Diceros bicornis minor: one gene and its partner. The protein of the gene in region 1 purifies or fractionates together with the protein of each later gene. This does not show direct contact. Links are inferred from orthologs where the notes say so. Each region holds a gene or a part of one and is shown in the gene's direction. Other genes may lie near its edges.

What was found.
Region 2: the proteins of CUL1 (region 1) and CDK2 purify together in Homo sapiens (affinity purification with mass spectrometry; 4 studies listed by BioGRID and IntAct, counting the BioPlex papers as one, with this or other methods). This does not show direct contact. The link is inferred for Diceros bicornis minor from reciprocal best matches to the Homo sapiens genes CUL1 and CDK2.

Annotation. Positions count from the first base shown.
Region 1 is NC_080742.1:95,004,703-95,012,668, forward strand, and holds the start of CUL1 (cullin-1), read left to right. Parts: upstream 1-4,747; 5' UTR 4,748-4,928; coding exon 4,929-5,068; intron 5,069-7,966. UniProt on the Homo sapiens protein: Core component of multiple cullin-RING-based SCF (SKP1-CUL1-F-box protein) E3 ubiquitin-protein ligase complexes, which mediate the ubiquitination of proteins involved in cell cycle progression, signal transduction and transcription.
Region 2 is NC_080756.1:12,774,421-12,782,035, reverse strand, and holds the start of CDK2 (cyclin-dependent kinase 2), read left to right. Parts: upstream 1-4,362; 5' UTR 4,363-4,552; coding exon 4,553-4,668; intron 4,669-5,416; coding exon 5,417-5,494; intron 5,495-5,602; coding exon 5,603-5,723; intron 5,724-6,378; coding exon 6,379-6,549; intron 6,550-7,047; coding exon 7,048-7,149; intron 7,150-7,615. Other genes in the region: melanocyte protein PMEL, read right to left, coding at 862-1,008, 1,164-1,274, 3,486-3,561. UniProt on the Homo sapiens protein: Serine/threonine-protein kinase involved in the control of the cell cycle; essential for meiosis, but dispensable for mitosis. Phosphorylates CABLES1, CTNNB1, CDK2AP2, ERCC6, NBN, USP37, p53/TP53, NPM1, CDK7, RB1, BRCA2, MYC, NPAT, EZH2.

The DNA of each region.
Region 1 (7,966 bases):
TAAGTAAAGTGAGGTATATCTCATTAAGTGAAAAAAGTTGCAGAACAGTGTGTGGTTGATCCCAAGAGAGTTAAGAATCAGTAGGGATCAACAGATTTATCTTTTTTTTTTTTTTTTTAAAGCTATATTGTTCCTTGAAACAGTTTCTTGAAAAACCAGTCCTGAAATATATTCAGGAAAAAATGCTCTACGGCCAAGACAGTGTGAGTACGGGATGCTTTATAGTGTTTTTCTGATGGAAATTCCTAAGATATGTTCACTTATTAAGGCCTCTGAAGTCTTGTAGCAAACAAAACAAAGTATTTAGCTTCACTAAAGCTAGCATTTCCCAGATTCCCGTGATCTTCCATTCAGTTGATGTTCCAGTTAGTGTTTAGTTGATGACTGTTTTAAGTGCTCTGTTTTTTTGTGAGGAAGGTCAGCCCTGAGCTAACATCCGTGCTAATCCTCCTCTTTTTGCTGAGGAAGACCGGCTCTGAGCTAACATCTATTGCCAGTCCTCCTCCTTTTTTTCTTCCCCAAAGCCCCAGTAGATAGTTGCATGTCATAGTTGCACATCCTTCTAGTTGCTGTATGTGGGACGCGACCTCAGCATGGCTGGAGAAGCGGTGCATTGGTGCGCGCCCGGGATCCGAACCTGGGCCGCCAGTAGCAGAGCGCACGCACTTAATCGCTAAGCCACTGGGCCAGCCCTAAAGAGAAAACAAAGCACATAAAAGCAAGGGTAGAATATTTTGCTGATTTTTCAGCATATTCTGTATATAAGTTGAGATTTGCTATGGCACCAAATTTCGATGCATCAAAACTAGACACAAGTATGTGTGATAAAGTAAACTTGACATAAAAAGGTTGTATTTGATCTCTTAGAGTATCAGTGAGTCTTGATAGAGTAAGACTGATAACTGGAATCGGAAGTGTAATACGAGGGAGTAAGAACATGTAAAGAATGCGTGGGTCATGATGTTGAACTAGGATAGTGGAGGTAGAGGAAGATCCACAGTAACGGTTTTATTTGGTGTATTTTAACTTTGTGGGGGGTTGTGTTGGTATGATAATTGGTATCTTGACTTTATCTTTCATGCTCTTCTGATATTTGCAGTGTTTTTCTTCGTTTAAAAAATGTCGGACTTTTAAAAAATTCAGCTTTCTTAAATTTCAAAATATTTGAATAGATTTAATATTGATACAATTAGGACTGATTTGTTCTTTCAAACTGTCAGCTCTTATTTGGAGCTTTTTCGGTTTCTAAGATTAATAAATAGATAATTGGTGAATCTATTTTTTTTCTCATGGCTCTTTATTGGTGTCCTTGTGTATTGTCGCCTTAAAAATGAAAGAACCTAAAATGCAGGCTATAGTATTGGGGAATACTGACTTGAGAATCCGAAGCTCTGGCCTGTGGTCCTGCCGCTTTTTAGCATTGTGATCCTGATCAGGTTTGATTGCTTCTTTGAATCAGTTTCTTCATCTGTAAAAGAAAGAGCCAGAACGATCTTTAAGGTTAACCTCTAATTGTCTGTGACTGTAATCGGCTCTTATAAGCAAATACTTTTGGTACTCAAATGCACAGTACATAAAGTTTCTAGTTTACAAACAGGTTATATACCAGAAATTTATGGGTTAGCTTCTTAGAAAAATGCTTTATTCCGTGGTAGAAGTGTTATGAAAATAGATGATGTCTGTTTTGATTTACAATTGATAGTACATAACCAGGGCAGAGGACAGTGCCTAGCACATTGTAGTTTCTTACTAAATATTTGTTAAATAAATATTAATGGTCACTAAATTTCTGTAACTCTCAAGTCTTGCTTAAACACTATATTAAAATACATATACATTTGCAGTGACCAGGATGATATAAAACATGACTAAAGAAAACAGCAAGAAATAAATTATAGCCTAAAATCTAGTGTTGAGAAGAAACAGGATAGAATTTTGTGGAGATTCTACAGGGGGATTTGGGGCAAGTTCAGATGCTCTATGATACTCTTATTTCCTTATTTCCAAATCCTTTAAAAACGTATAGCTTTTTAGTTCCTTAATTTCTTCTTTTATTCATGCAAAATATTGATTGAGCTGTGTACCAGGCTCTGAACTAGGTTCTGAAGATATTGTGGTGAGCAGAAGAGATGATCTCTGTGCCTGGGGATCGTAGGGATCCTTCTCCCCGGTGAAGTGGGAGAGCTATGGTAAAGACAGGCATGGAGTTAAGACCTTGAGTAAGAGCTAAGAAGGGAAAGTCCCAGGAAATGGGTGACCTGAACCTCGTCTGGGAGTTCCCTAGTAAGTCTTACCTGGGTGGCAGTATGGCTGGAAAACAACCTGATGAAGAAGGAGAGGAGCTTTCCAGGCAGAAGCAGCAGCAGATGCAAAGATCCTCAGGAGCAGAAAGGAGATAGGCATGTCCAAGGAAGGAGGGGAAGTCTGTGGCTCTGTGCCCAAGGGATGAAGGGAGAGTTTTGTAAGAGGCAAATGAAGAGACAGAAAAGATCTGATTATGCCATGGTAGGATTTCTGTGCTTCACACTGTCTTGGCTGCTCCCCACTGCTCTCAGGATGACAAGCTAATCAGATTTACAATTTTATACTCAACTGCCATGTGAAGAATAGATGGGGGGTGATGTAAATACTGAGAAGTATGGGAATCTAGTTTAGACTACTAAAATAGTGGTCCAGGTAAGAGACGACGATGGTGATGATTGATTACTGGGAGAGGAAATGGAGACGAGTGAGTGGTTTAGAATGATTCCCAGCTTCCTGATTTTTGGATACATAGAATTGCCACTTCCTAAGATGGGCAACACTGGTGGAGAATGGAGTTTGGGGGCAGATCTGGAGTTCAGTTGTAGACCTGTTGGGTTTGAGACATCAGAAGAGGTGAACTAGCACTTGGATACAGAGACAGGCCTGGAGTTGAGAGAAGAAATCTGGGCTGGAGAGAAATGTTTGTGAGTCACTGGCACATGGAGGTTTGCTGAGTCCCCCTACTATGCTTATCCATCCTAAATGAAGTGGCTTTTATGGTGCCCAGTTGAAATGCTATGGTGAGGAAAAGATAGAAATGGGAAAAGTGGAACATTTTTCTCAGTTGCCGGTAGAAATTAGAAGAAAAAGAAAAAGGAGTAAAAGAGTATCTAGATGGGTATGAGAAAGCTTATCTAAGATGGAATTAGGTGTAAGTCTGGGGAATTTAAGTGATAACTTCCCCTTAGGGGAAAATGAAGTAAGTGTGGGGGTGAGGGCATGTAGGTTTAAACAGGTGATGCCGTCAGGTGGTGCTGCCAATCCGAGACCCCCTGATTACCATCAGGTGAGCTGTTGGTATGATCTCCCCGGGCTGATGAAAGGAAAGGCGGGGTGAAATTATATGTCAGAAACATTGGCAGAGTGGTTACTGAATTGTTAGTTTCCTTAAAACACGAGGGAATTCTTCTGTTAGATATTTTTGTATTCCACATTTGAACATACCTATGTAACTATATAACATAAAATACTTTCAGGATCAGAAATGGTGTTGTGGTTTCATAAAATATTCAGTCCCATAGCTCAGATTATAAGTATTAGAGGTGATTTAGGTGTCAGTAGTTCAGACTTAATCCTCAAGCGTGCCCTACATTGTCCTTAAATGTGCCTTTGCCATTGAGGGTGTGAGACACACTGGATTACTTGCTGAGGTGACTCAGACTTGAGTTGGCAGGTCTTCACAACCCATTCTTATTGTTCCAGATACCGTTTACCTCCCAACAACATTTATTTTATGAAGCCATTAAAATAACTCACTGTTTCTTAATTTTGCACTAGAAATACTTGTTTAAAAACCTCCACGTTTTGATGTGATGTACATAGACGATCCTTAAAGTATGTCTGTAATATTGCATATTGAGAAGTACTGATTTAATACAATATTGAATAGCTGAGGTCCTTGATCTGTGGACCCTCAATCCTGAAGTATTATAAATTGTGTTTTGCAGTAACTTCAAACACTTAGAAATAATAGCCATTACCATTTTTTAAGCATTTACTATGTGTTAAATATTTTACATACATTATCTTAATTAAACTTCACACAACTATTTGAGGAAAATGATTTGCCCCCATTTTGCAGACTAGAAAATTGAGGGTTCGGGAAGGGAGAAGTTAAGTAACTTACCCAAAACCACGTACCTAGTAGGTATGGAGCTGAGCTTCAAACCCGGGTCTCCTGAAATTCAGGGCACATTTTAAATTTTGACAGTTCTTGCCAAATTTGCTTCTAAAAAGGGAGTGACCATTTCCCTTCACCTTTAGCCTCGCTGACATTGCATTTTGGTAAGTGCGAAGTGAAAAATTAGTAAAATTCACAGATAAATAGTGAGATTGAATGGTTTTTCCTATTTATTAGCTATTTGTGTTTCTGTTTCTGAGAATTCTGTTTGCCTTTTTTCCTTTGAGTTTGTCTGTTACATAGGTCAAGTAATCAGCTGAAGTTTTGATGCCTTTAGAAGGCAAAGAAAGGCAGCATTGCTAGCTGTGCTTCTGCGAGTTTTACCCAGCTTTTCTTGTGAACACTGATAGTCATGATTTGAACGTAATGTCTAAGTATAAGCTTATTTCTATACACATACCATATAATATGAGTGTGTTTCCCCATAGAAAGAGAAATAATCTTTGGAATAGAGTGGTGCCTGCTACTGCCTGCAGCCTGAGTATTTCTGTTAATGTGGCAGGCACCCTGTGACCCACGCCAGGATGTTGAGAAAGAATTAATTCCCTTTATTTCTTCTTCAGGTTTGCCTGCAATGAGATTTCATTCTCTACATTTAAAGGACATCCTTTCTGAGCTGCTGTGAATAAATTTGGGATGATACTGTATATTTTCATCTAATGGAGAATTAGCTGTACCTTGAATAAGGATTGCTGCACTGGACGACTTCATAATATTACTCACGATGTCATCAAACAGGAGTCAGAACCCCCATGGACTGAAGCAGATCGGCCTTGACCAGATCTGGGACGACCTCAGAGCTGGAATCCAGCAAGTGTATACCAGACAAAGTATGGCGAAATCCAGATACATGGAACTCTACACGTATCCTACTGCTCGAGCTGAGATTGATTTGCTTAGAATTTTGATTATTTACTAGTATGGTCTGTGAATTGTAGAAAATTTACATTATGTTTTCACCTTCCAGTTCATCCTGTACTATAATCACAGACAGGTTTCATTTTTAGCTTTAAAAATTAACTCATTTACTTTTTTTAAGTTTTTTGAATAGAGGTAAAACTGGCTGGTTGGTAGTCTGAAGCAACTACTGTTCAACACAGTAGCCACTAACCACGTGGCTATTTACATTCGCAGTCATTAAAATTAAGTAATTAAAAATTCAGTTCCTAAGTTGGGGCAGCTGTATTTCAAGTGGTCAGTAGATAATAGGCTGCTTCTGCCATTGCAGAAAGTTCTGTTGGGCAGCACTGGTTAAAGCAGGGAGCATTGGTTTCTGGATTGTCTGTGGCTCCCTTCATGCTTCCGGGCAGAGTGGAGTTGTTGCATCGGAAATGGTCTGGTCCACAAAGCCGATATATTTGCTATCTGGCCCTTTATGGGAAAAGTTTGCTGACCCCCATGTAAAGGGTTACCACATAGAGCAAAAGTTCTACTATAATGACCCTGTTTTACAAATATGGTATTAAAAAAGTATTTCATGCATTCATTATGTGGTCCGTGATGTGTGCAAGGGCCTGTGCTGTATGCCGTGAAGGTTACGAGGGTGTAAAAGATGTTGCTCCTGTTCTCTATTATATACTTGCAGAGATAGAATTTAACTTGTGGAATTTCTTGTTTTCATTCAAATATAAGAAATTGAAATTTAAGCTAACTCACTAGAGAGCAGATTGCCACTGATTTGCTGGTTCTAGGAGTTTAAAGTTGCTAGTTCAATGGAGTTTTAAGTTTAAACCTTTAATATGTATCAGTGATGTCAAACTTGGTTATGTGATATTCCAGTATGCCTTCAACTATTCTAATATTTTACAATCTTAAAAAAATTAACATGGATCTAAATAGATATGAAACTATCTCTAAATTAATTTAAAATTTGTTGTAGGTGTATACTCATATTCATATATGTATATATGTTTACACTGTAGAATAGTTAAAAAGAATAACAGCTTCATTGAGATATAATTCACATACCATAAAATTTATCCTTTTTTAAAGTGTACAATGCAGCAGTTTTTAGTATATTCAAAGTTGTGCAACCATAACCACTATTCTAATTTTAGAATATTTTCATCACCCCCCAAAAGAAACCCTGTGTCCATTAGCAGTCACTCTCCATTCTCTCCTACCTTAGTCCCTGGCAACCACTCATCTACTTTCTGTCTTGATGAATTTGCATATTCTGGACATATTATATAAATGGAATCGTACAGTATGTGGCCTTCTGTGACTGGCTTCTTTCACTTAGCGTAATGTTTCGAGGCTTCATCCTTGTTTTGATATGTGTCAGTACATCATTCCTTTTTATGACTGAATTGTATGGATATACCACATTTTGTTTATCCATTCATCAGTGATGGATATCTGGGTTGTTTCCACTTTTTGGCTATTATGAACAATGCTTTTATGAATATTGTGTACAAGTTTTTGCATGGATCTGTGTTTTCAGTTCTCTTGGGTAGATATGTAGATGAGGAATTGCTGGGTCATATGATACTTAGAACACTTTTAAGGAGCATAGAATCTTTGCAAATGAGATGATATTCCATTCAAGAGGGTTGTGGCTTGCTAGGTGTGACAATTTTTTTTTTTTTTTAACTCTTGTAAGTAGTAGAGCTGAAAATGATGATTCCATTGGTCAGGCAAGGCACTTGGTTGGATTTCTGGTGTGCAGAAAAACAAGGGAGCTGGTGTGGACGCCAAGGAAATCGAGTTGATCTGTCTCAGCAAAAATTGAAAATTACAGTTTCTTAATATGTAATTTTTGACTAAATCAGATTTGTCCTTTGCCCAATAGAATGTTTTGCTCTTAGAACTCTGAGAAAGTAGAGCCTTTGTCTGCTTGCAGTAATTACTGAATTCTTTTGCTACAAATAATTATAATTTGTAGTTATTCTGATACCTGCAATGTTAATTTTTTTTAGGGATGCCACTCTTAAATTGAGTATTATTCTTTTCCTTCCAGTTTTGCCTGAGAAGATACATGAAGAGTGGAGAATCTGAACTAAAATATCTGACTTTAATCCTTTAGATATTATTTATGAAATCATAGCTACGGTTTGAGTCTGTGTGTCAGGCGTTGTGCTGGGAACCACCTCTGTCTTATTTAAGGCTTGCATCACCCGAGAGTTGGTGGTAGTAACCCTCCTCTGTTGGTGTTAGAAGCCTGATCTCCAAAAGCTCAATTAATTGGCCTAATTGTTATAGCAACCATTGATAAATAATGATGCTGGTACTAAAATTCTTAGTATAGTAGTCTCAATATAGAAACTGCCATTATCGACTATTTTGCCTTCAGATTTTGTATTTGAATGAATCACATTTTTCAAACATCTTCTGTATTTTCCTCATGAAATTCCAAAGAAAAGTGTTTTGATCAACTCTTAATACATTAACTTTTAGGATACAGATGAAACAGTAGAATGTCTACTTGTATTTATTAATTTAATTATTGAAAATCAAAGTTATATTCCCCCCTTCACCTGCATTTTCAATATCAGTGTTATTGTCAAAAGTAGGAGAACTTTGAGTCATCTGACATTTTTCTAGAGCACATCTTTACTTTTATTTAATTCATTTAGGATATATTACTTTTTGAAACTGTATGTTGCCATTACTGCAGTTTTATCCTAGCCTTAGTTTGCATAACAATTTTTTAAAAAGTTTTCTCTAATGGGTGTATGTATATTCAGTCTTACAGGTAACCAATTAAGTGTATTGCCCTTTAAAATAATCTCCTATAGGCTGGTTTACAGTGACATCTACACT
Region 2 (7,615 bases), on another chromosome or scaffold:
CTTTAGCTACGAAGTTACGTTCCCCTTGTATAACCCACTTGGGGTGGTGGTGGGGAGAATGGAAACTACAATTAAAGATTCATATGTATATTTAAATAGGAAAGAGATTGGAAGGCCATATATCAAAATGTTTAGAGTGATTTGCTCTAGCTAGTGGGATAAAAATAAAAACAGCACCACGGGGCCGACCCAGTGGCGCAAGCGGTTAAGTGCGCACGCTCCACTGCGGCGGCCCGGGGTTCGCTGATTCGGACGGATCCCGGGCGCGCACTGACGCACTGCTTGGCCGTGTGGCGGCGTCCCATATAAAGTGGAGGAAGATGGGCACAGATGTTAGCCCAGGGCCAGTCTTCCTCGGCAAAAAAGAGGAGGATTGGCAGATGTTAGCACAGGGCTGATCTCCTCACTAAAAATAAAAATAACAGCCCCAGCTAATATTTATTGAGCCTTTACTGTAGGCTGTGGAAGGTGTATGCTAAATTCTTTACAGATTATCACATTTTAATCCTTAAAACAACCTTTCAAGTTATCATCCCCATTCTAGATAAGGAAATGGAAGCATAAGAGAATTAAGTAACTTGCCCAGGATCACATGCTAGTAGCAACTTTAAATCAAAGTCTGTCCCACTTCTAGGTCCACTGGGTCTTCTGTCCCCCATTTTGGAGACTATAATTTTTTCTTCTTTTTGCTTTCTCTGTGTTTTCTAATTTTTCTACAATGAATATGTATTACATGTATAATTTGTAAAAAAAAAAAAAAAAAAAAAAAAGTAGAGGGGAAGGGAGCATTCCCTGAGCTCATTGGGGATACCAGGGAATCCGAGCCCTAGGAATGAGGGCCTGGAGTAGAAAGGTACTCACCATTGATGATGGTGTTGTTGGCCCAGACGACCTGCCCATCTGGCAGCACCTTTTGGCTTTCAGGGAAGTGCAGGGCAATAGAGAAAGAGGCATTTGCCCCAACCAGTGTAGGCCCATCGTTACTGACCTTCAAGGACACCTGGCCACCTGGGAAGGGCAGCTGCATTAGCTGGGACTCCTTGGTTTCCACTCCCCATGTACCTTTTCCCTTCCTATCATCCCAAGCTACATCCAACCCAGTTCTTGCTCCTCTCCTCACCCCGTTCCCACCATACCCTCCCCAGAAATTGTCAAGTTCCCACCTCTCCAGCAGTCAGGCCTCTGAATTTCTGTCCACTCTGGATACAGCTGCCTGTTCCAGGCTTTAGTTCTGAGCTGTCTTGAGACACCAAGCCAGTCCCGGCCTCTGGGTCCTAAAAGGAAGGTACCATGAGGGCCCTAGGATCCTCACTCAGTCCCTTCTCAGGGGATAACACCGTCCCATGTGGCCCCACTCATTCTCACATTCAAATTGCATTTTAATTTACTGAATACCCACCAGGTACCAGGCACTATGCTAGGTACAAAGGACTTAAGAAATGAACAAGACATGGCCCTAATGGGATTCAAGGTAAAGTATAGGAAATAGACATATACATAAATTACTATAATTCAAGGCACTGTTTAATATGAACCATAACAGACATGCACAAAGTGCATGAAAATGACAAACTAAACAGACTAGTTCTACTCTGGCAGATTGGGAGAGATGTCAGTGAGGAGTTGGCCTGTGGGATAAGGCCCAGCATGAGCAGATGCATGGAGGCAGGGAAGCACCTGGCATGATAGGAGACTACCAGCAATGTGGTTGATGCACACTGTGAGAGATGAGGCCAAGAAGATGGGGGCTTTCAGTGCCAGGTGAAGGAGTTTGGCCTTTATCCTGTAGGCAAGGCCACCTCAGAAGATTTTGTTTGTTTGTTTTATTGAGATATAATTCACATACCATAAAATTCACCCTTCAGAAGCTTTTGAATATGATCAGATGTGTTTTAGAAAGATCACTGGCAAGCAGTGAGGAGGATGGATCAGAGGCAGGCAAAGGTTGCGGGTGGGGACAGAGCAGATAAAATTATTGTAACTGACCAAGAGAGAAGTCTGAGAAAAAAAGGGATATGATGGATCTCCATATGCCTCACCCAGATCCAATGACTGTCAACAATTTTGCCACATTTGTCTTATCTCTCTTTTGTTAATGTTGTTTGTTTGTTTTTTGGCTAAAGTATTTTTTTAAAAATCCCAGACATCTTGTTATTTTAACCCTACAAATGCAGCATGTATCTGTAGGGTTAAACAATTTTTTTTAAACATGAATATTTTCTTGAATAAGAACAATGTCAATTTATACTAGACGAAATTATCAAACTCAGTCAATATAAAATTTCATGAATATCCAAAAATGTCTTCTTATGATTTTAAAAATTGGGACCCAAAAAGTAAGCACAATCTTTTAAGAGCCTCAGGTGGACAAGTATGAACAGAATGTTTCCAGAATACATTAAGGAACATAGTAAAAGAATAAGACTTGAAACTGCAGCATGAATGAGGGAAGTCAGATCAAGGAGAACTTCCTAGAAGTCTGTGTGACTAGGGATCTAGAGATAGAAAATGGGGACTGGGGCCGGCCCCGTGGCTTGGCGGTTAAGTGCGGGCGCTCTGCTGCTGGCGGCCCGGGGTTCGGATCCCGGGCGCGCACAGACGCGCCGCTTCTCTGGCCATGCTGAGGCCGCGTCCCACATACAGCAACTGGAAGGATGTGCAACTATGACGTACAACTATCTACTGGGGCTTTGGGGGAAAAAATAAATAAAATTATTAAAACAAAAAAAAGAAAATGGGGACTGGGATATGAGGTATATATTTCAGCACAGCAGAAACTGTCCTCACTCCATTTCTAATGTGTACTGGAAACCTAGTTGATTCCACTGGGGGAGGATCTGGAAGCATGTCATTGAGCATCCCACCCTATCATAAGATGCCCTATTCTTTCTCCACTCCCAACCCTCCCTTCTCAGAGCAGCACGGGACATTCCAGACCCTCTCACCACCCCTGCCCCCATCCCTTGCTCCTGTCACGAGGCTTCAATCCCCCAAAGCCCTTTCATGTGATGCTCAGCTGAGACCCTCTGCCCGTCTCTTCCAGCCCCAGAACAAAAGCCTGGGCTGTGTTCGCCCATCTCCATCCCAAAGAGGGGCGATGGGGCCCCCTTACCCTTCTTATCCAATACCACATTCTCTTATTCCTCACTTTACCCTATCCCAAGTGTTTGAGACATTGCCTAAAAGAGTCTCCCACTCATTTCAGCCCTTTGGAGCCCCTGCTCCATCTCACTGAGCAGGGGGCCTCAGAATTAGGGCCGTGAAGATCCACTATCCTCTTTCCCTTCCAAGCAGATGGGATTATTTTCAGGTCCAGTCCCAAATCTCCGTGTGGGGAGGGAGCTCAGGTGCCCATGTCCTCACTAAATCAAATGGATGGGAGAAGACAGAAGTATTGCTGGTAACTCCTATTAGGAGGGGGAAAACCAGAGCAGATGCGCAATCTCAAATTCATACTTGTTCATCTCCACACACCCCACACTCACCTTCTGTGGCCCCCACAGCCAGAAGAGCACCCATCACAGCCATGTGGAGAAGGCATTTTCTCAGCACCAGATCCATCCTCTTCTTCCTTCCAGCAACCAAAGGTGCTGGTGGGCTGGGACAAGCCCCTGTATAAGAAAGGGGTGCTTATTTGCATAGCCCTTCCTCCTCTCCCTCCAGGGAAGGTCTGGGAGGGGCGGGAGGACCGGAGAACGGCAGAACTGACAAGGGATGCTGGTCCCTGGACATCCCACTACTCAATGACAGTTTCTGGGTCACTTTCATCTGGACACACTCCATCCTCCCGGGAAAGAACAGCTACGTAACACATACCGAACACACACAGTTCATCATGGGAGAGTGAATCAGTCTGTTGTTTGAGTCCAACAGGAACCTCTCAAAAAGACAAGAGATCCTGCATCCAAAAACAGAAAGACAGTCTCAGGGTAGGCTGAGAGGCGGAGGCAACGACTCCTCCGAGGCCCAGGAAACCCTTACAATGAGATTCCCAGCTTCCTGCTTTTCAAAGGAGGCTCCCTGGGCCGGGGGGAATTTAATCTTAGGTCGATACACATTTCCCCTAAGGGTGGCGAACCCTGCGAGTTAAAGATCAGGAAGTCCCTACAGACTGAGGGCACGGGTCGGAAACTCGAGCCCAAATCAGGTACTTGGAAAAAGGTGTTCAGCCTCGTCACCGACGCAGAAGCTTGTTCTAACGCCCCTCAGAACCAAACTTGTGCGGGAAGGTCATTTGCGGCGAGGGGCGCTGGGCTCGCCCCGCCCGCTCTGACGTTGACCAATGGGAAGGCCCGGGGGCGGAGCCAGGGAAACGCGGGAAGGAGGGGCGGGGCGTCTGGTGGCGGTAGAGAACTGGGGGGGAGGCGGCAACATTGTTTTAAGTTGGACAAATTGACAAGAGCGAGAGATACACTGCGTTCCATCCCGACCTGGGGTCGCGGTGCTGGGCCCTGTTTCCCCCTCTTTGGCCCCCCGAGAGCCGGGGCCCGCTTTCTGCAGGGTTCCCAGGCCCCCGCTCCAGGGCCGGGCTGACCCGGCTCGCTAGCGCTTCATGGAGAACTTCCAAAAAGTGGAAAAGATCGGAGAGGGCACGTACGGAGTTGTGTACAAAGCCAAAAACAAGTTGACGGGAGAAGTGGTGGCGCTTAAAAAAATCCGCCTGGACACGTGAGTGGCCTCTGTACCCGGGACTCCTAACTCCGGAGCTCCTTGAGTGTCCCTACCCCCACCCCCACCCCCACAGGCGGGTAGCCGTCCAGGGACCGGAAGGTAGCAGGGAGGGACTTCTTTTGAGGTGGAGAGGTGGACTGGAGGACAGTAGAAAGTTTCCCTGTGGAGAATATAGCGTAGTGCACAATCCATGGGGAACTTCCTCCCCAAAGCCGGGTGATACCCCCCTAAATGTGCAGTCAGAAAGACTCAGGAAGACTAAGGAGGCCCCTGAGATGGGGTCCAGGACTCCTGGTGGAGTTGGGTTTTGTAGGAACTGGTGAAAAGCACCTTTCTGAAGGAAGAGCCCTCCTCACTGTCCCAACCCCACCCTCATCTTAGAATTCTCTCCCTCTTTCAAAAGAATGACAGTTGAACCTCACTGGCCCCTCCAGGGAGGCTGGGTGCTGCTAGTCCCATTTTTTTTCTGTTACCTTCTCTCTGCTTCACCTTCACCAGGAGGCTTTACTTACCTACCCCTGGGAAAAGAAGAAATAATGACCTTAATATGTCTAAAAGCCACTCCCTGACCACCCATGAATTAACTCCTACAGCACTCTTTCTCTTCTCTCACTTTCCTAGGGGATGCTGGGGGTGGTGTCACCTTGTGGAGGGGGGGTGGGAGGTGGGAGAGGGAGTGACTGGGCTGGAGGAAAAAGAATATTTGTAACCACATTCCCATCTCTACTTTCCCAACCTCTCCAAGTGAGACGGAGGGTGTACCCAGTACTGCCATCCGGGAGATCTCTCTGCTTAAGGAGCTTAACCACCCTAATATTGTCAAGTAAGTATGTATTTGGGAGGTACTCTGATAGTAAAGGAGGATACCTTCTGTCTGTGAAGTCTGGGCATTTCTCTCCCTCACCTCCATTCCTGGACCTCTCTTCCCTAGGCTGCTGGATGTCATCCACACAGAAAACAAACTCTACCTGGTTTTTGAGTTTCTACACCAGGATCTCAAGAAATTCATGGATGCCTCTGCTCTCACGGGCATTCCTCTTCCCCTCATCAAGGTAATCCTTCTCCTCAACTCCTCCTCATCATGGGCATCTTGGAGGGGACTGAAGGCAGGCAATTCAGACTGAGTGATGATTTGTAATGTGGCTTCCTCCCCAGCCCTCATTCCCCTACAGACAAATACCTACCCCTTTCTTTTGTGGCTCTTTCACTGCTCATTATGCTTATTAACCCCAGGGCTGGGCAGGAGAATCAGAGAAGTGGAAACTCTAGTAAGTCAACTTAGCAGCTCAGGTGGAAGGTCAGATGAAACTCAGATAAATGGGACTTGAGGGCACTTGGTAGATTCCTCTAAAAAGCCCTTCCACCTGTTTGGTGGAAGAAATAGCCAGCAGCTCTCTACTGTCTGTTTTAGGCCTGTGTTCTTTACTCCTGGAGCTACTTTCAATCTGTCAACAAATGTTTATTCAATGCACATTTATTGAACACCTTCAATGTGCTAGGCACAGCATATGGAAAAGAGATGCAAAACTGAATAAGACCTGGTCCTTACCCCTCACTGGGCTGACAATCCAGTGGGAGAAATAGCTTGTAAACATGTAATTATGATCCAACATAGTAAAGGCTTTAGTAGAGCTTTGGAGGCACAGAGCAGACCCTAATCTTCTCACTGTGGTTGAAAAACACAGTCCTCTCTGTCTCCCTTGTCAGAGCTATCTGTTCCAGCTGCTCCAGGGCCTAGCTTTCTGCCATTCTCACCGGGTCCTGCACCGAGACCTCAAACCTCAGAATCTGCTTATCAATGCGGAGGGGGCCATCAAGCTAGCAGACTTCGGACTAGCCAGAGCCTTTGGAGTGCCTGTTCGTACTTATACTCATGAGGTGAGTCTCTCTCTGCATTTCTTCTCTGAACTTCCTGGGAGGTGTTAACAAAGACATTCACAAAGTTACTAAAAATACCTGGCAGCAGTTTCTCTCTCAGTAGATGGAAAGTATCTCTGACACCCCAGGAGGTCTTAGAGTATGCACATAGTTCATACCTTCATACCGTAGGGCTAACTGGCCTTTGATAGATACCAAGCCAGGAGAGCTGGATGGCACACCATTAAAATTATGACGACTTGTCTCAAGTTTTCCAGAAAGGTCACAAATCGGGGCTTCAGAAAATACGGTTCCCAGAGCCATGGGCAAGGCTAACTCTGGGCTAAGAAGTGGTGTGTAATCATTTCACTTAGGCGAAGTCAGAAGGAGGGGAAGGATGGAGGGAAGGAAGCTGCTTGTTAAGAGCCTGAGAGTTAGCAGAGTAGTGCTGAGGAACTGAGACGTGGGAATCTCCATGCCCCATACACCATCCCTCCCCTTCCCACTCTTATCCCCCAGGTGGTGACCCTGTGGTACCGAGCACCTGAAATCCTTTTGGGCTGCAAATACTACTCCACAGCTGTGGACATCTGGAGCCTGGGCTGCATCTTTGCTGAGATGGTACGAAGCCATGCCCTAGTTCCACCCAGCCCACTCCTCCCCACGTTTAAGAACAACAGAACTGTTTCTTGGCCCAGACTCATGGGCCTATTATCACAGGGTTCTTTCTCTAGAGTAGCACCACGCGGGGTGGTGGGGAAGGATAGGATTGTTGTCCCTGATGTCAACCACATGTTAGGATATCCTCAAACAGCCTTAGCATCCAGTTTACTTCTCTTATCCCCAAATTGAGCTAAATAATTTCTAAAGCTGTTTTAGCTTTGGTCTGCATATATTTGGGAGACTGAATTCCATTTAGTGCCTCCTTGATGGCCTGTAGACCTTACTGTAGGGTGCCAGGAATGTGGTGAAGCCAACAGCGTTCACCTTATCCACACCTTTTATTTAAACTGCAGGCTTAGATCATGTCCCCCCTCAACCTCTGGCTTTTCAGATTGAAGGATCCCTGAGGCCCAGCTTTATATGG